3 linked regions of the Alligator mississippiensis genome follow. The protein of the gene in region 1 purifies or fractionates together with the protein of each later gene. This does not show direct contact. Links are inferred from orthologs where the notes say so. Each region holds a gene or a part of one and is shown in the gene's direction. Other genes may lie near its edges. The genes, in order: MPHOSPH10, IMP3 and IMP4.

What was found.
Region 2: the proteins of MPHOSPH10 (region 1) and IMP3 purify together in Homo sapiens (affinity purification with mass spectrometry; 4 studies listed by BioGRID and IntAct, with this or other methods). This does not show direct contact. The link is inferred for Alligator mississippiensis from reciprocal best matches to the Homo sapiens genes MPHOSPH10 and IMP3.
Region 3: the proteins of MPHOSPH10 (region 1) and IMP4 purify together in Homo sapiens (affinity purification with mass spectrometry; 3 studies listed by BioGRID and IntAct, with this or other methods). This does not show direct contact. The link is inferred for Alligator mississippiensis from reciprocal best matches to the Homo sapiens genes MPHOSPH10 and IMP4.

Annotation. Positions count from the first base shown.
Region 1 is NC_081834.1:35,431,012-35,438,264, reverse strand, and holds the start of MPHOSPH10 (U3 small nucleolar ribonucleoprotein protein MPP10), read left to right. Parts: upstream 1-4,233; 5' UTR 4,234-4,328; coding exon 4,329-4,408; intron 4,409-5,391; coding exon 5,392-6,052; intron 6,053-7,015; coding exon 7,016-7,161; intron 7,162-7,253. UniProt on the Homo sapiens protein: Component of the 60-80S U3 small nucleolar ribonucleoprotein (U3 snoRNP). Required for the early cleavages during pre-18S ribosomal RNA processing. Part of the small subunit (SSU) processome, first precursor of the small eukaryotic ribosomal subunit.
Region 2 is NC_081824.1:13,427,652-13,434,698, forward strand, and holds the start of IMP3 (U3 small nucleolar ribonucleoprotein protein IMP3), read left to right. Parts: upstream 1-3,982; 5' UTR 3,983-4,141; coding exon 4,142-4,705; 3' UTR 4,706-7,047. Other genes in the region: PLA2G7 (platelet-activating factor acetylhydrolase), read right to left, coding at 387-485. UniProt on the Homo sapiens protein: Component of the 60-80S U3 small nucleolar ribonucleoprotein (U3 snoRNP). Required for the early cleavages during pre-18S ribosomal RNA processing. Part of the small subunit (SSU) processome, first precursor of the small eukaryotic ribosomal subunit.
Region 3 is NC_081831.1:27,572,820-27,580,684, reverse strand, and holds the start of IMP4 (U3 small nucleolar ribonucleoprotein protein IMP4), read left to right. Parts: upstream 1-4,826; 5' UTR 4,827-4,898; coding exon 4,899-4,901; intron 4,902-5,015; coding exon 5,016-5,124; intron 5,125-5,273; coding exon 5,274-5,357; intron 5,358-5,547; coding exon 5,548-5,657; intron 5,658-6,039; coding exon 6,040-6,172; intron 6,173-6,950; coding exon 6,951-7,135; intron 7,136-7,275; coding exon 7,276-7,370; intron 7,371-7,865. Other genes in the region: uncharacterized protein LOC102559449, read right to left, coding at 3,523-3,675, 3,786-3,907, 3,994-4,097, 4,185-4,370. UniProt on the Homo sapiens protein: Component of the 60-80S U3 small nucleolar ribonucleoprotein (U3 snoRNP). Required for the early cleavages during pre-18S ribosomal RNA processing. Part of the small subunit (SSU) processome, first precursor of the small eukaryotic ribosomal subunit.

The DNA of each region.
Region 1 (7,253 bases):
AGATGCAGCTATGCCAACCAGGGAGGGTCAGCTGATTAGAAGAAGCCTCTCCCAGGTGTTTAAAAACCTCAGCTCTCTGAGGGTCAGAGAGACATAAAAGGGAGCTAGTATTCCAGGAGGTACTTGGCAGACTCCAATCAGCATTGAACACCTGAAACAGAGCAGGGAGAGAGCCCCAGGAGATAAGGGTTGAAAGGGTGTGTGTTTATTTTACCCTGAGAATGAGAGGGTTTTGTTAAAGTGATGGGAAGGCATTTTTTTCTTTTATATTTATTTGTTCTGAGCAGGGTGGGCTTTTGTTAAAGCTGTAGCTTCTTCCTTTTATGTTCCAGTCTATACTAATGGATGAGGTGTGGCTGTGAGGAGGAGGCCATAGGATGGCAGGAAGGCATGGTAGCAGCCCTGCCAGGGTGGGAGTATGAGACAGAGGGCCAGTAACCCAAACCAGAAAAGACAGAGAAGGGGAGTGGCTGAGGCCTGAACATGAGCAGGCTAGCCAGAGCCTGGAAGGGTGAGACCAGGGCTGGGGCCCAGATGCCGGGGTCAGGAACAGTGTTTTTCAACCTGTGGGTCGCAAGAATATATCAAAAGGGTTGCAAACAAACTTTAAAAATGGATTCTCCTTTAAAGGAGAAAAACTTGGGAAACTGACTTTTCCCTTTCAGGCTGGCAGAGCTCTAGCCTGTGAGGGGCTGACTGGGACTGGAGCCCAGGCATGGGGAGCAATGGGTTGGGAGTCAGGGCCACTAGGTCAGGACTGGCCACTGATGTTTACAAATGGGTCCTAGTACAAAAAAGGTTGAGAACCACTGAGCTAGAGGAAGGGGGCTAAAGCCCCAACAAAACTTTTGTGGCCAGAGGGCCAAGCTGTGTAAAGGGATGAGATGCACACTCAAATGATAACTTGTGTCATCTGTGAGATATTGGTGTGGTGGTAGGGGAGGAAGGAAGACCTGAGGAAACAAGTACCAAAAACAAATAGGAGAGAGGGAGAGCCCCAGAGGACTTGCCAATCTCAGGTGGGCAGCCTCCCCCATTAATTTTCTCTACCAACAAGGTATGGTAGACAAGTGAATGGGCTGTCATCCAGGGAGATCTGAGTGGGACCAAAAAAGACAGAGGGGGCCACAAGGAGGTAATATAGCTGCCCTTGGGCACTATCTTGTCACAGGTGCATGTTATTGTCTTTCTGCATATATTGGAGTGTCCTTCTAGAACGGTGTGGGCAATTATTTCAACTGGCAGACCACTTAATCAGTTTTGATGAGCTGTCAAGGACCCCTCACTTAAAATCTTTCAGAATATATAATTTTAATAAATTTATAGATGATACATACAGTAGATGTTTGATTTTTAGTATAACATTTTATTTAAAAAAATAATTGCTGTCCTGATTTGTGGGGGTTTTTTAAATAGTGTATATAGAGATGATTGCATAATAGCTCAAAATAAAGTCTTACTCTTGTATATTGTGAGGGGAGGAGGCATTGGAGGTGAGTGGAGGGGTGTGCATGCATGTAGGGGGTGGCTGCCTGCGTGCCAAGTCCCAGGAACTGGGGGGGCGGGGCATGCAACAGAGCTTGCCAGGGCAGCGAAGGTGCTAGCATGGTCTGTGTCCCCTCCTGCTGGTCCACAGCTGCCCCCACAGCATTCTGAATTGGGCTGAGCTCTGCCTGTTCCCACCCACACCAGCCTGGCCCCAGCCTGTGTGCATAACTTCCTGGTGGGGTTGCTCCTGCTGCTGTAGCTGCCCAGGTCCTGCTTCGCTCCCACTGCCTCCAGCAGCTCCTCCTCTTCCTCCTGCTATGCTGCTCCAGGTGAGGGTGGGGCATTGCAGCTAAGCAGCTCCTTCTCCAGTGTGTGGGGCACCAGCTCCAGGCCACCTTCCACCCACTTGGCCACTTGCAGGTGGCTTGCTCATTGCACTGGGTGGGAGTTGGATCTGGAGCCCTGCATGCTGGGGCAGGAGCTGCTCAGCTGCAACTCCCTGCTCCCACCCTGAGTGGTGCAGCAGGGGCCAGAGAAAAAGGAGCTGCTGATGGGGGTGGGGGGACCTGAGCAGCCCCTAGGTGGTTGCAGCAGCCCTGGGAGCAGCCCCACTGTTAAGCTGTGCACACTGGCTGCAGTCTGGACTGGGGCTATGGGCAAGCATGGGCAGGAGCATGGTGCAGGCTGCCCTGGGCAGGAGTGAGCAGGACTCAGCCCTTTGAAGAGTGCCGCGGGGGAAGCCATGGGCCAGTTCCAATCAATTGGTGGGTGTGGGCTGGATCCAATCAGTTGGCAGGCTAGATCCAGCCTGCAGGTTGTATTTTGCATGTTCCTGTTCTAGACAGTAGATCTGCAGAGCAAAAAATTTGTGCACAAATAGTGAATCTGTAGAAAAGGTCAGAGAGGAGGGAATTTTTTACTTTAGTAGAAGGAACTGGCATGGGAATAAAGGGAGAAAACAAGGTCTGGGATTAAAATATTCATAATAGTAACAATAATATTCCTTACTTTATTTACTCTTATAACTATAATGTTACATTGCATTAAGATTACTGTAAAATCCACTCTCTGATTCATGTTTCTTACCACCCACACTCAGCTTATTAAATAATGCTAACAGTAACAAAATTAAACTCTGCCTAAACGGAATACAACTTTTCAAAACAGCTGAATATAAATGCATTTTTCTAGATTACAAGCAACTTAAAATGCCCCTCTTGCAAAAGTATGCATAACTAGAATCCTTATATACTGAGAATTACAGGATTTATGATTTGGAGGCATCTATAGTTTAGTTAGAGTTTATCCTGCCATTGTTGTTTTATTAGGTGGGAAAATAAGCATTGTGTAGTTTGAAGGAAAACAATTCTTTGCTACCCTTAGATAGAACAAAAATATTCCGGAGGCTGCACGGTGAGCGTGAAGGTTGTTGTGCCAGTGTGGAAAAGGTCTCTCACAATGGATCCAGAGGCACAAATACAAGCCCTGCTGTTGTTCCTGGGCCAACACAGCTGCAAGTGGGTAGATTCAGGCTGGAAAGTGGGATGTGGCTGGATAGGATGCTAGTTACATTAGTCTGTGTGTCACTAGCTACTGGCTTCCTGCACCTATGCTAGCCTAAAGAGCCACCCAGGATAAGATAGACCTGGTTAACAGTGAGAGAAACTTGGGGAGGAATGTGGAAAGGAGAAAATTTGAGGCAAAAGGGGTGTGTGATTTAGGCTGAGAGTTCCAGAGATGTCATACCAGATGTACATATGTATGTGAAAGGTGGTGGGTTGGGGTACCTGTGTAGGAGAGTTTGGAAACTGGGAGGGAAACAGGAGAATTTGTGAAGTAATTGGAGGTATAACATTAATCCTCGTTGTTCTGAGAAGACCAAGGGTACGTAAGAGGCTAAGAACACGAGGAGGTAAGAGGTTCAGGAGATGCTTCATTAAGCATATCTGGGCTTTAGAGATTAGGGAGTATAGTTTTACAGCATGTGTCTGTATGTGAGAGTAGGTAACATACATAGTATAGTGGTGCTGCATAGGAAGAGAGAGGATGCAAGCTGTCCAGACATGTAAGACCTTAAGAGATGCCATACTAGGTCAGATCACAGGTTTGTCTCACCCAGGTTATCTCACAGTGGCACTGAGTAGCTAGCTGCAAAGGGCATAGGGCATAAAGAGTCTTTATGAAGGGCTTATCCAGACTGACCTACCCCCTGCCTCTTCCCTTGCAACTTCCAACATTTTGAGACCTCGGAAATAGGAATATGAAAGCCGCAGCCCTGCTGTGGTGGGCACTGGACCCCCGCTGCACGAGAAGCCATGTCTTTGGAACCTGCCAAAGCAACCAGCCTCTGCAACGTCCTGTGGCAACAAGTCTCCCAAGTGAACTGTGCACCCAGAAAAATCCTGCCCCTGCGTGTTTTCAATCTGCTCCCTAGGAATGCACGTCTGCGCCCAGCTCTAGTGCCCAGAGGCTGCCGGCAGGTCAGCCCTGGCTACTCCAGACCCCATTATTTTACAGGCCTCTGTCATACCCCATCCCCTTCTCTCTGCTGGGGAGTTCTGCCGGCCTGGGCCCACCTCACGCAGGAGCCCCTCGGGACTGCCCTCCGCTGGGATGGCCACGGGGGTCCCGGGGCGGGCGGGGCGCGTCACACGGACGCGGTCTCCACACGGGTCCCCCGCGGGGCCTGGGGCGCGTGCGCCGTGCTCGCCCCGCCCGCCGGGCAGGGCCCCTGGGCGGGGCGGAACCCGCTGTTGGCGCCCACGCGTCCGGCCGGAGCCTCTTGGCGGTGACTACTCCAGGTTCCGCCGCGTGGGGGGCGACTGGAGCCGGGCCGGGCCATGGCGGCGGGGCGCGGACGGTTGCAGGCCTGCTTGCAGGTGCTGGGCGGAGCGGCGGCCCAGCCGGAGCGCTTCCTCAGGTACGGCTCGCTGGGGCGGGCAGGACAGCCGAGCCGGCCCGGCCCGGCCCGGCCCGGGAGAGCCCCGTGCGGGGGCTGGGCCCTCGTGCTGCCTGCGGCCCTGCCCGGCCGGTGCCGCTCGCCCCGCGCTCCCGAGGGAAAGCCCCGCGGGGAGGGGGGGTTGCGGGGACACCAGCCGCGCTTCTTCTCCGCGGGGCCTGGCCGGCGGGTCCAGGAGCCTCCCGGACAGACCTCGGCCCTTGCTGAGGAGCGGGAGGGCGGCGGGGGCTGCTCCGTCCCGGCGCCGCTTCGTTTCCTCTGCTTTCACCGCGAGGAGGCCAGACGGGCTGCAGCGGAGTCAGAGCCGGTAGTAGCGAACCCGGGCGCCCCTGGGCCCGAGCCGGCGGGGGAATTGCTGACACGGAGGGCAGGGAAGGCCCGGCAAGCTTTTGGGTTGTACCGGGGCATTTGTCACGCATCCAGGTTGTAGCTGTATTTGGTCCAGAGGAAAAAGCAATCGGGGCTCGTGGACAGAGGTGACTTCTTTTATTAGACCAACTAGATTTTTGCAAAAAAAAAATTCTTCCAAGAAAGAAAGGGAAGATGGGTTTTCTTCACTACTCCCCGGTTTTGACTTTGTTGCGCCTCATCTGGCCTCCTCTTGGGGAAAGCAGAGGAGACGAAGCAGTGCCAGGGAGGGGACGGCCCGCTCCCCCCCACGTCCAGGGTCACAGCAAGCGGTGAGCTCCATCCAGTTCGACCGTGGAGCAGCCCGCAGCGCCAGGAGGTGCCTGGACCCGCGGACCAAATTATTTGCAAAAATTTTGTTAGTCTAATAAAAGATCACTTCTGGCTACAAGCCCTGATCACTGGTCCAGTTGTGGCAACTGAGCGTGTTTAAAAGACAGTCTTATAGTTGTTATGTTTTTTTTCATGTAGCACTACTTCAAAGTTTAAAGTTCATGGCTTTTCTTCAAGTTTTGAATGTGCTTTTTTCCCCTCAGTGTGCAGGACGGGTTGGCTGCAGACTTCAGGTCATTAACAAAGACTCTTTACGATTTGCATAAAGTGCTAGGGGCAGATGCAATCCATGGGAGTCCCTTAAAAGAACTGGTGATCGAGAGCTTTGATGAAGAACAGATCTGGCAGCAGCTTGAGCTCCAGAATGATGCAGTTCTGGACTATTTCAAAAACGAGGTTGCTAGAAATGTTAAAGACAAAGATCTTTGCCTTATCCCAGTCCAAGAAGAAGATGGTTCGGATGCAGAGACGAGTAGTGAGAAGGAAATGGAACCAGAAGACAGTATGGAAGCAGACCAGATCTCAGATGATGCAGAAGATGAAAGCGAGGATACAGAAAAGCAAACTAAATCCAGAACATTGAAGAGGCAGCAATACAGTGATGAGGATTCAGATATTGATTTTGATATTGATGAGCTGGAGGAAGAAACGAAAAAATCAAAGATGACTACTTCGAAAAAAACAGGGGAAAAGTCCATAGTGGATGATAAATTTTTCAAGCTGTGTGAGATGGAAGCCTTTTTGGATGATTTAGAGAAGACAGAAAGGCGGGAGATGGAAGAGGATGATGATGAGATTAATTATTTTGAAGATATTCATTCGGAGGAAGAGGATGAAGAGGAATTGGGAAAAGATAAAGTCAAGGTAAAGGTATTGAAAGCTACTAGGCAATAAGCTGGTTAAATAAAAATAACTCTTGAATTAAAACTTATTCCATAGTTATTAAAGACATGCTTTTGTCATGATTAAATACCTAAAATGATCTTCAGCTGCCTTAAGGATGTTGAAATGGCAGTAAGTGTAATTAACAACAGGAATTAGAATAACAAAGAATATGCTGTTTTCTCCATTACTTGAAATCTTTAAAGATCAGATACTTCTCCAAAAGAGATGCTGTGTTTAAATCACAAACTGGTGGACTGAAACCAGAAATTTAGCCAAACTTAGCCACATGACAATGATCCCCTGTGGAGTATGAATATTTTTTGCTTTGAGTGTGTGTGAACACACAAGTCCCTACCCAGAAGTGAGAATTCTAGTAGGTTTAGGAGGATCTTCATGCCTCTGCAGCATCTTATTGAAGTCAACGGGGTTCTGTATGATTAGAGATTTGAGGGGGGAAGGAAAGGGGTCATGATCTCCAAGGAATGGGGTGTGATGGGAGAGGGTCATGGTTTCATAATGCTGTGATTTAATCTGCAGAGTATTAACTTGGAAAATAACATTCATGCTTTTTACAGTAATGTTTATAGCTGTTCTGTTTTTTCAATGTGCTTGTCATGAAAGAAAGCTAATTGAGGCACTTCTAAAAGTGATAGACTTAGGCATCTGAGAGCTATGTATTCTCCCATTATAGAAGAACAAATTAATGTCAACATCTATGGCTCTTCTCCTTCTGTGCGGTTAAAGCAAGCAAAAATAAAATTTGTGTGATAAATATGTAGACCTGACACCATTCAAGCCATGATCTAGCCTAGTAGCCAAACAGTAGTGAAATGAATTGAATTACCATTGCAGTTTTTAATAACACTGCTCTCATAGAATAAAAGATTCAGTTAGATCTCTGTCACTATCACCAGGTAATCTCTTATTTTACCGTTTTCCCAGCCAGTTAAAAGTTCTAGAGACCTGAAATATAAAGATTTCTTTGATTCTGGTGGTGGTGATGATGATGATGATGACAATGACAATCCAGCTCATCATGATGGTGATGATCAGAATGAGGAAGATGAGATTGAAGAAGACATTTCTGAGTATGTATATTTGAGTATTTTGTAACTGTCCTGTTGATAATGACTGTGTTTATTTTGAACAACGGTATAACACGGGTGGGTGGGCAAAAGGC
Region 2 (7,047 bases), on another chromosome or scaffold:
GGGCCTAAGCGACAACGTTCATGTTTAGATCTAGATCCAGTTCTGCACTCCCCCGAAGTTTGGGAGGCTGGAGGAAGGTACTTATCTGCCTGTCAGTTTCATATAACATTTTGATCCTAGCATCCACCATATCAGCTCATTAACAGCAATTCTTGGACCAGAGGTGTTACCTGTCTGCCCTACACTAACCACCCAGTGTGAATTCTGCCACTGCTTAAGTCATTAAAAAAAATACTGTTTGCTTAAGCAGGCTTGGTTCTAGTTCTGAGCAGCAGCGATTTTCTTCCTACCTGAATAAGCAGACCTTTCCATGTAGTCAGTATCTAACACTAGTGCTGGGCTAGTGATTTAAGTGGGGAGGGACAGGACAGATATAGGTGTCCTACCTGAACGGTGTCATCAGTCATCAGGTCTGTGCAGCCAACAGAATAAGGCCCCTTCCCTTCAGGGATCCTGTAAAACTTGGCAGTGCCTTTGGTTCCCATTTCTTCAGCGCTTTAACAGCCAAACCTAAAAAACCACAACAGACCTTGGGAGATTCTTTTCTTCTTTTCAGACCAGCAAACTGATGCAATGGAAAAAAGAACAGGAGAACAAAGATTCAGGATGTTAAGGTTTGGGACCAAGCTACCAATTGGGGTCCAAAGAACCATGCATGAGAATCACAGATGTAAAGCCAGAAGGGACCATACTGTGTGTCATCGAGTAAGACTTCCTCTACAACACAGATCATAGAATTTCAGCAGTGCAGGGTATTGACTGAAGTGCTGAGGACTGGGGGAGATAGCTGCTTTGTACATGTGCTGAGGGGGAGGATGTGAGCTCTGATTTCCTTGGAAAATTCAACCTCCTTTGATAATTACAGTCTGCCCACTTCAATCAACTCCCTGTAGTTTTATCCGGATTCTTCACTTCCTGTCCCACGGGGCTGCATAGCACTTGTACGCAGCGTCAGATTGGTAGTTTTAAGATGTCTGTACATTAGAGGGTAAAATGCTTTATACAGAACTAAAGGGCCAGATTCAGACAGAGGTTATATTCGCAAAAGAGTATAAGCTATAGCAGCAGGACCCAGTGGTAGGGCACTGGGGAGGTGAGTGGTTAAGATGGTGGAAAACAGCTAGAGTCTCTCTCTCTTTTGGGAGCAAGCAGGGGTTCATGCAAGACAAAAAGCAGATGGTTCTGGACAGAGCTACAGAGGTTTAGGGTTCAACCATAAATTAAAGCTGCTTTTTGCACTGATGTGGCCTCCCCTGATTATGAGCTGACATATGAGTCTCACAAGGAGCAGGAGGTTGCCTTTGGATGTAGGAGTTCCATCTTTGTTCAAAGCCTGAGAGGAGCATTTTGGAGGGCTCCCCTTCTGGCAGCACAACACCATCCCCTCACACAGCTGTCACGTTTAGTGCAGCTCTTTGTGTCACACAGCTGGGGAGACATGTCACTTTAATCCCATGTACATACATGTGCATGCACACACGTACAATTTATGATTCTATGAAACTGGGGACTCTATTAGCCTCCCCTGCACAGCCCCATCCCAGCTTAGCCCCCATCTCCTTCTGCCTGTCTTTCAGCCGATGCCTCATTCTGATCCCTTTGCTGCCCCACCTTTCAGCTCCTGATATATTCTCTCCACAGCTTCCACCTCTAGATGATCTCTGAATCCCTTCCTTCTGCTCCCCAACCTCCCTTGCTAGTTGCACTGAGATCCCATTGAAGAACTATCCTATTTTCTTTCCACCTTTGCTTTGACATGGAGTAACGTTTTTTATAGCTATCTAGATATATCTATATCTATCTATATATTAGACATATATATGTATGTATGTATACACACATATACATACAGTATATGAAGTATTAAAAGATGAATTGCTTTATTTTAATTCAGAAGCAGAGTATGTATCATAAACCCCTAATAAATATGTAACCTGTGGTCAGTAGCTATGTCACAAACCTCAGCACTTCAACTGCTTAAAAACAGTCTCAAGTTAGTGTTAGGACATGAAGCACTTTCCCTGTTGGATGTATGCAACTGGATGGAGGAAAAGACATAACAAAATTGGCCTGTTTTTTTAAGCTCTGGAGTATTTACAACTTCCTCAACACTGCAGATAAGGCCAAGTGCTCACACGTACCTGTGACCACATACAAACCGCAAGCTTGCTAGTGGCTTGCCTAATGTAGGCTAGAACTTTATCAGCATTTCAGATCACGTTTTGAGTGACCAGGAGGTATATAGAATCTATGTGTCTGCGTGTGACACACATCTCCATAGTTATTTTAAGGGTGGGCCAAGTCAAGCACGCCGTGCTGTCATGACTTGCATTCTAGATCTCAAAATGCTTTCCAGACTCTGATAAACTGAATGTCAGGCTACCACTCTGACAAATCCTTCTTGTTGGATTCTTTATGGTTCTGGTCCCAGTCTAATCATTTCTTCCTCCACAGAAGGAAGTGAAGTAGGTATAAAATACTAACTTCCACTTCTCCTAGCTGTCAGTGATGACACAAGTAACCACACAGGAGACTCATCTCTGTTTTGCTTGTGGGGAAGGCAAGGCACAGGAGTGATCTGTCTGAAGCTCCACAGACTCTGGCAGGGATGGGAATGCAGATCAGCATTCCTGACCTCTGCTCCTGTGCTTGAGTCCAGCCGGCATCATCCCCAGAACAGTGTCACACTCTGTGCTGAAGAGAACCCAGGCATGTGAGGCCTGGCCCTGCAGCTGCTCTTAGGCAGGCATTTGCAGGGATGAGGAGGTCCCGTAAAGGCAGAGCTGGGACATAGAAATGGCATAAAATCCTACTTCTTTTGTTTTACTTCCTGCAGATGAAATATAGCTGAGCCCACTGAAGAATGAAAATGAAATAGCTGAGCACACTGAAACCCATTCTTACCTACTAATTTTGTTTCTCCAGATCTCCTTCTGTCAGTCCAGAATGCAAAAGTAAAGGAAAATTTGAAGGGTTCTTCTATTAATGTTCCTCTTGCTTTCCCAATGTCATGACCTTTGTTAAAGAAAATAACACAAAAGCATGTGAGTAGCTAGTATCCAGGTCTGCTTATTCGTGTTGCCTTTTCAAGGGTGGGGTCAAAATTAGGAGATGACTTGAAAGTATAGTTCAGTTCCCTAAGTCCTTCAGAGCTTGCTTTCTGCAGTCTGTCCCAAGTCAGTCAATTATACTGGCTGGCTCCTGGCGACAGGAATTCCTGATTGCCCAGGAGCCGACCTGAAAACACGTTTTTCACACAGGCGTAATGCCTTTCGGACCGGCCATTACAGTCCTGAGAACTAGATTCTGTCTCCTGTGAGGCACAAACCACTGAGATCAGGCAACTTAATGCTGCTTTGGGATAACCTAGGATAACAAGTCAGGCTTCTGCATACTATTTTGCCTATAGTTTCCCAAGTCTGTCCATAGGTTGTGGCACAGACTTAATTAACTGCAGCCCAGAGCACCAAGTACACTGACTTGTAGGTGACTGCCAGCAATCTGTAGCACAAGAAGGGGACAGTCGTTACACTGGACTGGCCCACACTACACTGGGAATCCCTGCGCGCTGCGGGAAGCTGGGTGCTTTCTAGACACCGTGTGCACCAGCAGTAGCATAACGCAGGATGCTGCTGCTACCCGGGGCACTGGTCCGAGCTTGACATGACTTACTGCCTAGTTCGCTTGCAGCCCCAGCCAAGAAAACGATGATGGCAAAATGAGAGAGAGAGGAAATACACTTTGGTCTTAGCCTAAAAAAAAAGCCCACAAAACCAAGCACCCCAGCCTGCAGCAGGGCAGCCGCGGCAGCGTGCAATGTCAGCCCAGGGTCGAGACACCCTGCCCCAGAAGCCCTCCGCCATCCGAGCAGGGGGAAGCCCCGAGCACATCTCGCGCAGGTTGCAGAGAACCTGCGGGGGAGGCGCCTGCAAGGGGCGGAGAGCGAACCCTACGTCACAGAACGGGGCCGAACAATGCGGAACGGAACGCTCGACCGCACAGTGACGTCACAAAGGGGAGCGGCCAATGAGAACGCAGCCCCGCACCCGGAACTGGAAGCGCTGGGCACAGCCACGTGGCTGGCAGCGGCGGCGGGAGCACTCGGACTCGGACTCGGACGTAGAGCAGCAGCAGCAGCAGGATGGTCCGCAAGCTCAAGTTCCACGAGCAGAAGCTGCTGAAGCGGCTGGACCTGGTGAGCTGGGAGGCGGCGGGCGGCGGCACGGCGGAGCTGCGCGTGCTGCGGCGCTACCGGCTCCCGCGCCGCGAGGACTACACGCGCTACAACCAGCTGAGCCGCGCCGTGCGCACCCTGGCGCGCCGCCTCCGCGACCTGGGCTCCGCGCCGGCCCACGCCGCCTTCCGCGCGCGCTGCACCGCGGCGCTGCTGGGCAAGCTGCAGGCGCTGGGGCTGGTGAGCTCGGCGCGCTCGCTGGAGCAGTGCGACCGGGTCACGGCCTCGTCCTTCTGCCGCCGCCGCCTGCCCTGCGTGCTGCTCCGCCTGCGCATGGCGCCCAACCTGCGCGCCGCCGTCGCCTTCGTGGAGCAGGGCCACGTGCGCGTGGGGCCCGAAGCCGTCACCGACCCCGCCTTCCTCGTGCCCCGCGCGCTCGAGGACTTCATCACCTGGGCGCCCGGCTCCCGCCTGCGCCGCCACCTGCTCGACTACAACCAGGAGCGCGACGACTTCGACGTGCCCGCCTAGGGCCGGATGCGCCGCCAGGACGGGACCCCAGGCTCCGGGGGCAGCGGCTTAGAAACGCCCTCCTCCAGCGACGCCCTGCGTCCTGGCCAGCTGGCAAGGACTGGTGTCTGCGCCCTCCCCAGTCAGGCTGCACCTGCCGATACAGCCTGCAGCTGCTGCCAGGGCAGGGCGTCCCCTTCTGCTGTCATCAGCCTTCACGGACGGGCCTGTTCTCAGAAATCCTTGGACCCGGTTGCATTAACTGTCATCCTCAGCAGTACCCAGACCCCCTCCCTCCGCCCTTTCTCCTATTTAATAAAAAGAAACAAATTGCGTTTCAGGGAAAAGCCTTTTGGTTTCTTTAAAGGCGCAGTCGCACCTGCCTTCTCCAGCCCTGCTGCTGTTTTCCAGCTGAAGGAACTGAGTGGGGCGGCTTGCTGCCCTCGCCTACATCGGGCATCCCCCAGCTCCCCAGAGCGCATCGTGGGGCCCCTGTCTCAGCAGGCCCCATGGCACTCCCCACCGCACCGTGTCAGCAAGCTGGGGGATACCCAGCAGGTCTGCTTCCAGGCTGCGTGTCGCCACCAGCTCTGCATGTTTATGGTCTACTCTCTACCACCCCATCCCTGGGTCCCGTCCAGACACTGAGTAGCGGGACGTGTTCAGTGAGGACAAAGGTCCCTTGCGGACAGACGTTTTGCTGTGTTCCTGTGAGCCTCAGCTGGCGGCTCCTCCACTGAGCTGTCGCCACAGGTGTATGTATACCTGGCATGTGTCACAGATGTCCCGAACATCTGCCTCTTCTGCAACCAGAGGGAGACCCTGACCTATGTCTGCGTGGGATGTGCCCAGCTGCAGCCCCTTTACCGCCTCCTTCAGAGCCTCCTACTACAGTTCTGGCCACGCTGCTCCCTGCACCTTTTTATTTGCACGCTTCCCATCTGCGGCCCCACCAAGTCCTGGGACCTCCTGATCAACCTCCTCCTGGTCCTGGCTAAGCTCACAATTTATCTGACCACGAAGGAGGCTCTAGTGGGGAGGACCCGTGGGGGCTGGGGAGCTGCTTTCTTGTCCCTTGTCTGATCACATCTCCAAGCAGTTGCACTGGGCAGTGGGAGACTTGTAGGTTTTTTTTGGTGGACATTGGCTCATGATCCCTTAAAGTAGCAAATTGCCCTGTGTGGCTGGAGCAGTTTTGTTTTTTTTAGATGAATCCTGTTTGTGCAGTGTTAGTCGGAATGTATCTGTTAGTGTTAGGCGCGGTGTTTCCTGTTACTCTCCTGGGAGGATGGGGACTGTTTACAGTAGTGCAGGCGGTTTTCTGAGCACTCTGTGTCTGTGGGACCGGTGTCTGCAGAGTTGGACGGTAACTTTTCCTGTGTGAGGTTTGAGGATGAATGCTGTGCGCTCTTGGGAAGCTTTGCCCTAAGGCGCTTACATGACCACTGGCAACACCCAGGGCTTGGGAATGACCCAGTTTCCAGAGGGGTAACTGATACTTCAAAGCACTAAGGCCCAGATCCTGCCTAAATGCCAGTGGGGATCCAGCCCTTCAACTGCTATGCCCAAGGTCACAGAAGAAACATCCTTAACTGCCACTGTCTCCTGCCTTCCTTGTGTGCATTACAACATGCAACATGTTTCACACGCACACACGTTGCAGGTCTACAGAGAGCTGGCACCCCTGCGGTGGAACTGGAACTCCAGCTCCTTAATTCAGGGTTGACTGGCAGCGGCGAACATACCAACAGCTAAGGACCGTGGAGGACAAATCCTTTTCAGTCCTCTGCCCGTCTTTAAAACTTGCTTTCTTTTTTTAGCTGGACTCAAAGATGAAAAATAGGGGGACTCTCAAGGAGTTAAAGCTGTTTTTAACTACTTTGCTCCCTCTGATACTGTTTGTGACTAACATCTTCAGACTTTCTGGAAAAGGCTGTTGGAATCTCATGCAGGAGGAAACACATGCTGTGAGGCAAAGTTGTTTATAGCATTACATTCCTGACACAAAACTGAGCGGAAATACTCTCTCTGATCCTTCAGTGAGCAAAAAGGGAGGGTATTGCAAGCTCTTGAAGTTGGCAACCCTTACAAAGAAGTTTTGTAAAATTTTCAGCAGCCTGGAGATAGCTTGATCTTTGTTCAAACCAGAAGAGGAATGCAAGTCATAATCCTGAGAGAATAAGAACTTCACACTTAACTACGTGGGTTAATATTGTTCATTCCTAAAGGCAATAGAAATATTAACAGAAAGCAAAGCTATTCTAGCTAGGCCAGTGAAGTGCGACATTTATTTTTTAATGCAATAACTTAAATCTGCCTTTGAAATAGGACCATTCTGCTACAATCTCTTCTTGATCTTCCTT
Region 3 (7,865 bases), on another chromosome or scaffold:
GCTTCTGGGATTTACTGGTTGCCCCTGCCCCCTTCTGCTACATGTCAGGGTGTTTTTAAGCCCCTCTCAGAGACATTGGGAGTTGGCTGCAGCCCAAGCTGGGAATGTGACTGGGCTGTAACAATGCTTCTGCTGGGATTCAGCCCTGGAAGGGCCTGGCTGCAGGGTCTTGCTCCTCTGGTCAGGATCAGACTGATGCCATATTTGGGGCAAGGAAGGAATCCCTTCCCCCCCGCCCCCAAGGTCAGATTAATACAGACCAGGTAGGTTTTCCTGCCTTCCTAGCATGGGCATGGCCTCTGCCTGAAATGTCTGAAGCATTTATTAACCATCTTTAACATCAGCAGGATGTTGACTCCTGTGGTGGTCTGGCTTTTCCCATGGCAGGTTTGGGTGCGAAGTCCGGTGTTGTGTCATGACTGACAGTTGTTTTACAAAGAGCTCAGACAATGGCTTTGTCTGGGATGGTTTGGGTAGGGCTAATCCTGCCTTAGGGGCCAGGTTGGACTACAGTCTCTGATCACCAGAGGAGTTACGTAAGCTAACTATAGTACTGTGGCTTTGGATATCTATCTATGCATCTATCTATCCATCTGATAGACACACACACTAATGTTGTGTATGCACACATGCACATATATTCATTTTATGTCTCAACATGTGCACATGCACTTTACACACATACACACTCATTTTATATATACATATTATACATATGCATGTGCGCACATATCCATGCAGACACACACTACACATACATCTATTTTATATACACACACACACACACACACATTTAATTAATTTTGTGTGTACACACACACACAATCAAAAACACACAGTTATTCACAGCTATGTGGTTGTGCAGGTCACCATGGTGCCCCCAAAAACCTTCAAAACCTTCTATTACCTCAGTCCAAGGGTTTGGGGTACCAGCGGGTTGTTGAGAGACAGGATGCTAGAGAGACAGGAGTTCCCCCTCTACTCATATGAGTTTATTCAGCAGACAGTGCACACTCCCCTACCTAGAACTGCACTAGCTACCTTGCAAGTGAGTCTTGCTCCCTATCTTGTGGATCAGACAGGTCAGGGTCTCACTCAGACATTCAGGGCCCTGCTACACATTCAAATGAAAGCTGGCTAGAAACTAGTCATAAAGTTGTGACGTATTTTCAAGCACTAACTTTGTACCTGCTTGGCTCTCTTCATAGCTGGACGGTGATTTTTATAACGTGGTAATTACTTTGTGCTTGTGGCCAGTCTCCATTTATTGCATGCTTGACCAGTTGATTGCAAGAACTTCTTTGCATGTTTGGCCCATCTAGTTATTGCGTTACTGAATAGTTCAGTGTGTGACAATTTATTTTCATTTATGGCTTCCCTAAATGCATTGGGTGATTGACTAGTGAATGGCATGATAATTCCTTTGCTTGTGTGGCCAATCTACTTATCTCACACCATTCACTGGTCAAGTGCGTAAATGTAATGCGTGTCAGGAGCCTCTGGGGTATAGTCTAGCCATCCAACAATCCCTTAGTTCCAACTTTTTCTATGCCTTTTGTGACTCGTATAGTTATTTCTCCACCCCCTCCATGACTATCACTATGGCTACTGGCCATTTAGAGGTTATTTGCATAATTGATAAGCACCCCCAGCCTGGCAGATCTTTTTCATCACTTTGTCTCTCTTTCTAGCATCATCTTCTCACTGTCTGGGACAAGGTTTTTTTTTCCTGGGACAAAACCTGCACCTGCTTTGCTTGGCTTTAACAAACAAGTGGTTTTCTGGCCAGGTCGAGGGCTGTGTAACACCCCATATGTAACACCTTGCGGGAGCAGGCACAGGTAGCTTTTATGGTCCCACGAGGATCCCCTGTACATACAGAGAATCACCTAGGTGCCGGGCTTCCCCCTCCAACAGACTTTTTTAAGGAAAATTTCCATGTCCCAAGTCAAATCAGGCAAATCAAATCCAAATCCGTGTGTCATTCAAGAACCATATGTGGCCCTGCTACTGTCAAGCATCCCACCCCAGCCAGCTGGGGCTTCAGGTACTTCCAAATCCTTTGGCAGGCATCCTACGTGCAGGCCCAAGCCCAGAGACCTGGGGTTCGGATACCCTTGAGTTTTGCCTGCCCTCAGCGGTATGGTTGCAGGAGCAAGCTAGGGAGGAATCTCCCATTTCTATAAAGTCGGCGAATAGCCGAGATCTTCCCACTTGACATGAAAGTGAGAGGCTAACTATGCATTACCTCAGTCAGGGTATTGCCCCCTGCCACATTTGTGGTTTTCCCCAGGCAGTAGAAAAACTACCTGGGTGATCATGGTGTCTCCCCTGCCAGATAAGTACATTTACAGGGTGCCCCACATGAGATTGACCAGGCACCCAGGCCTTACCCCCCTCCCCCAACACACACAGGGAACCCAGGTATCTTGGACCCCCATGCACAGAGAACACATGCACCCAGGCCTCTCTGCTCCGTGCCGCTCCCCATACAGAGAACTAGGCATCTGGGACCCCCCCTCTACACACACCCGGCACCCAGGATCCTTTCTATACAAACATACAAGAAGCCGAGGCATCCAAGACTCCCCCCCACCAACAACATGACCCAGGTGTTCAGGATCTCTCTCTCTCTCTCTCTCTCACACACACACACACACACACACACGCACACACACACACACGGCTTCTGAGCCTCCCGGGCAACACATACAGAGAAGGCAGGCATCTGGGTCCCCTCAAAACACACACACAAAGGAACCCAGGTATCTGGGACACTGGCTGTGCAGAGCTCCTAATTTATTGTCCCCAGGGGCCGTTGTCCCAGCAATACAGAGGGGAAAGCAGGGCTCAGCCCACATGGGCCTGGTTCAGCAGGGCACAATACTGAGTCCGTATTGCCTTCACCCGGTTCTGTAGCGCTGCTACCTCCCCTGCTAGTGCCAGCCCTGGGGATTGAGCGAAAAAGTCAAAGGGTGAAAGATCATGGATTTGGGCTAATCGTGTGTGCGCGTGAGCATGTGGGTGTGCATGAGGCGGGGTACAGTTTCCATCTTGTCTTCAGGAGCATAAGTCAAATACTAGAAGGCTAAGGTCAGGGGTCAGTGGTGGTATTCGGGGGGGGTGGGGATGGAGGCAGGGGTCCCAAACCCGTCTTCAGTAGTAGAGATCGGGGGCAAGGGTGACCGACCAAAGGTTGGGGTGGCAAAGATGAGGGGTCAGCCATGCCCCTTGGGGGTGGGGGAGGAAAGAGAAGGCCCTTGGGGTAAAGATCAGGGGAAAATTTCCTGCACTAGAGGTGTGAGAGGGTCCTGAACCCACTCTGAGTGGTGACAAATCCTGCCCTAGGTGGTACAGAGACCAGGGAGCCCCGATTCTGCCAGGGCACCTGATCCTGTCCTCAAGGCAAATGTCAGGAGTCAGAAGGCTAAAGCCAGGGGGGGCACCCTGACCCCACAGAGGGAAAGAGGGGCTTAATCCTGTCCTAAGAGAGGCTGAATGCTGCTGGGGGTGGTCACTCACCCTCCTGGAAGCTGCGCTGTGCCTGCCGCAAGCTCTGAGGCACCAGGATCCCGAACCAGGTGAGGGGGTCACGGCCTCCAGGCCCCTTCACTGGCCCCGGCCTTTGGAGGACCTCAGCCTCCCCCGCTGGTCGCCTCCCTCGGTGCCGCAGCCCTGGGGAAGGATATGACAGGATCATGGTGCCCCTCACTCCCAACTCACAGCACCCCCCCATCCTCTCGTGGTGCTCCTCACCCCTGACCCACAACCCTCCCCCCCGTTACCTGTCACCTCCTCCTGATCCTGGGGTCCAATCTCCTCCACATGCCGTGGCTCCGCAGCCACTTTGGGGGCACCCAAATCATCACGAACGATCTGGAAGTTGAGGTGCCCATCTGGCCCCTCGCTGGGGAGGGAGGGGGCGTTGAGGGAGATAGGGAGCAGCACCCTGGCAGAAAACCCGGGCATCAGTGCCCCTCGCTCCCGACCCACCTGACACACACGCGAACGTGCGGCTCCATCTGGGCTCCGTACTGCAGGGCCGACACCGACTTGCAGCCCATGGAGAACCGCGCCTTGGACAGCGAGAACCAGCCCTGACGGGGACAGATAGGGGTTAGAGGAAGGGCAGGTCGAGAGTGAGAGGCACCGGAAAGGGGGGGGAGGGGTGGTCTCGGTCCTACCTGCTCCACGCGGCCGCTCAGCGCCTCCCGCCGCTCCCGAAGCGCCTCCAGAGTGTCCAGAAGCTCCAGCACGAGCGCATCCAGCTCCCACCGCAGACCCAGGATAGGCCCAGGCCCAGGCCCCGGCCCAGGCCCAGGCCTCAGCCCCGCCGAGCATCGCCCCTCCTCCACCGCCGCCTCCGACATCGTCCCCGCACCCGGACTGAATCCCGGAAATCCATCCCGGCACGGCTTCAGGTCGGACTGGGGGTTCCCCAGCTGTAGCCAGCCAGAAACCAGCTGTAGCGGGGCCCCACCAATCAAGGCGCATAGCGAGTAGCACTGCCAGCTCTCATTGGCCAGTTGCTCTTGGCGGGTTCGAATCCACTGCCTCCTTCTTGGGGGTGGGGCGGGCCAGGAGGAGCGAAACGAGCCCAATTGGGTCCCCGTTGGCGACCATCTTAGCCGAGGGCAAAGGCCACCATTCTTGTGAGGGGTTCGTCAGTCTGTTCCCTTTCTGCCATCTTTGTTTAGGGCACACTGCCCTGAATCCTCTCCATCATTCACATTTCCTATCCGCCATCTTTGTTCAGGGCACACCATGGCCCTGCTTGGCTGTTGGCGCCGCTAGGTAGCCTTCTGCTCTCTGATTGGTCCCAAGAGCTCGATCAATCGGAGGCAGCGGTGTTGGGCTCCCACGTGGAGGAAAAGAGCCGGAGAGGCAAAGCCAGCACCATGGTAAGGGTCTGTTGGTTATTGTAGGGTCACACCTGAGGGTGGGGGCCAGGGCCAGGGGATGATCTGTCTCCCCCAGTCCACGGGTGACACCCGCCTGGTTCTTTGCTTCCCCAGCTGCGTCGCGAGGCCCGACAGCGCCGCGAATACCTACAGCGCCGAGCACAGGAGGAGCGGGTTCGGGCCAGCAGCGAGCGCAAGGAGCAGCTGCGGGCGGCGCTGGACGGTACCACCCCCACGGCCCCACACTACCCCTCACTCCCGCCAAATTGATGCCCCTTCCCCCTGCTCGGAGTGCACCCCACTTGGCCCGTGGTACCTCTCCCTTCCGACCTGCGTCCCCCGCCCCCCGTGACGTCCTGTCTCCCCCCGCAGAAAACCGGCTCCTGCCCACCGAGCTCCGCCGCGAGGCCCTGACCCTGCAGCGCGCCCTCGAGTTTGACGGGCCTGGTGCTGACGGTGAGTGGAGTGGGGTGGGGTCCTTGTCCCCCTAGGACTCGAACCCGTGTGTGTGTGTGTGGGCGGGGTTAAGCGGGCCTAGACTTAAGAGGGGGTAGGGTAGGGGCGGGGCGGGACCAGACAGGCAGTAGGGGCGGAATACGGGAGGGGGTGTGGCTAGGGGCGAGGCTAACCCGTGCTTGCCGTCCAGGCCTGCAGGTGGCTGAGGATGACGAGTACCGCTGGGCAGGGGCCGAAGACCCCCGCGTCATGGTGACAACCTCGCGAGACCCCAGCGCGCGCCTCAAAATGTTTGTGAAGGTGCGAGGGGCGAGTGCTGGGGAGGGGGTGCGGTTTAGAGGGGCCTATCCCAGGGAGGGGAATGGGGCTTCAAGTGGCTGCATGGTTTGTAAATGGAGGGGGTGGGGTATATACTCCCGGCCGGGTGGGGTGGGGCGGGGTGTTTCTGGGGACGGGCAGAAGGAGCAGGGTTTGTAGCTTGTCAAAGGTTACAGGGACCCGACCTATATAAGGGCATGGAGCTGGCTGGGCTAATCGGGGCTTCTGCTTTGGAGACTGGGCTTCAGGAGGCCCCTCTAGTGGGACAGGGCAGAGCTGTAGCCATGGTGGTCCTGGGAGCTGGGAGGGGCGAGGCTTGGGCAGTACGGGGTGGGGTTTAAGGATAATCCCTCCCCCTCCGCAGGAGCTGAAGCTGGTGTTCCCGGGAGCACAGCGGATGAACCGGGGCCGGGCAGAGCTGGGGACACTGCTCCACGCCTGCCGCGCCAATGGCCTCACTGACCTGCTGCTGCTTCATGAGCATCGTGGTGTCCCTGGTGAGGCCTTACCCCTTCTGCCCCCACCATGTCCCTGCTCTCTTAGCTATATCCTGCTTCCCTGGACATTGGCTTGGTCATGCCCCTTCTGGCCCCACCCATTGTCCTGGCTCTGCTCCTTCTGCTCCCTGGCCCTGCCCTCTTAGCCAGTGGCTTGGCCACACCCCCTCTGCCTGCTGGCCATGCTCCGGCCCCCCTGGCTCTGGCCATACTGTCTTGGCTACACCTCTTCTGTCCCTTACCATGCCCCTCTTGGCCAAGCCCCATCCTCCTGGACCGCCTCCTGCCCTAGGGGATGCTGGGAGATGCTTCTCTCACATGCATGTTGGGAAGGGCTGGTGGATAGAGCCTAGTGGTGCATGCTGAGAATGGGGTGGAGCCAAGGATTGCAAGGTGTGGCACAGAGCACACCAGAGTGTGTGTGTGGGCGCTCCTCCAGAGCTGAGGGGGTGATAAGAGGAGGGCAGTGCCTGTTGGAAGGGATTGGGCTTGCTGGCAAGGCCCCTCTGATCTCCCCTGGCTCCATCCCCAGATAGACTGATCTGGCAAGGGGTGACACAGTGTAGTGCATGCTGGGAAGGGGTGGTGGGCAGAGCCTAGTAGGGCAGGCTAGGAAGGGGTGGAGCCAAGGATATAGCCAGGGCTAATGCAGAGCAGTGCCTGTTGGGAGGGGGCTGTGGGTGGGAAGCAGTGCATGCTGGGGGCATACGGCCTGCTGGCAAGATCCCGCTCCTCCCTCCTTGCTGACACCACCCCCAACCCCTGGCTTTTTCCCCAGATGGGCTGATTGTGTCACACCTGCCACTGGGCCCTACAGCCTACTTTACACTGGCCAACGTGGTGATGCGCCATGACGTACCTGGGATCGGCCCTGCGCCCCAAGCTGCCCCTCATCTCATCTTCCATGGCCTCACCTCTCGCCTGGGCCAGCGTGTGAGTTTGGGTGGGGCCTCTGAGGAACAGGTGTGGCCGAAGGGAAGGGAAGGGGCTTGAGCTGAAAGGGCAGAGCTTGGGTTTGGGGTGGGATTTATGGTGGGATGCACCTGTGGGGGCTGCCATATCTAAATTATTCCCCCACTCTGTCCCTCCCCTCCCCTCCCCAGGTGACGAGCATCCTCAAGTACCTGTTCCCAGTGCCCAAAGAGGACAGCAAGCGCGTGGTCACCTTTGCCAACCAGGATGACTACATCTCCTTCCGGTGGGTCCAGCTGTGGGGGGCAGCTGGGAACGGCCAAGTGTAATGGGGAAAGGGAGCTGGGATGTGGCTAGCTCCAGGGTGCAGCCTGTAGGAATGGCTGAGTATAATGCTGTACGGGGAAGACTGAGATATGGCCAGATCTGGGCTGGGGTGCCTGGAAAACAGCTGAGCATAATACTAGAGAGAGGCCGAGCTGCAGCCAGCTGTGGAGTGAAACGACTAGGGAACAGCCAAGTATAACATCACACAGTGAGGGCTGAGATGCAGCCAGGTCTGGGATGTCAAACAGCCAAGTATAACACCACAGAAAGAAGCTGAGATGCAGCAAGCTCTTGTGGGGAACAGTTGGGGAATGGTTGACTATGATGCCCCATGAGGAAGCCTGAGGTGGAGCCAGTTTTAGGGTGGGGTAGCTGGGATTGGCTGAGTATAATGTGACGATGTGGCTAGCTCTGGAGTGGAACCGAAATATAACAGCACATGGTGTGGGGGGTG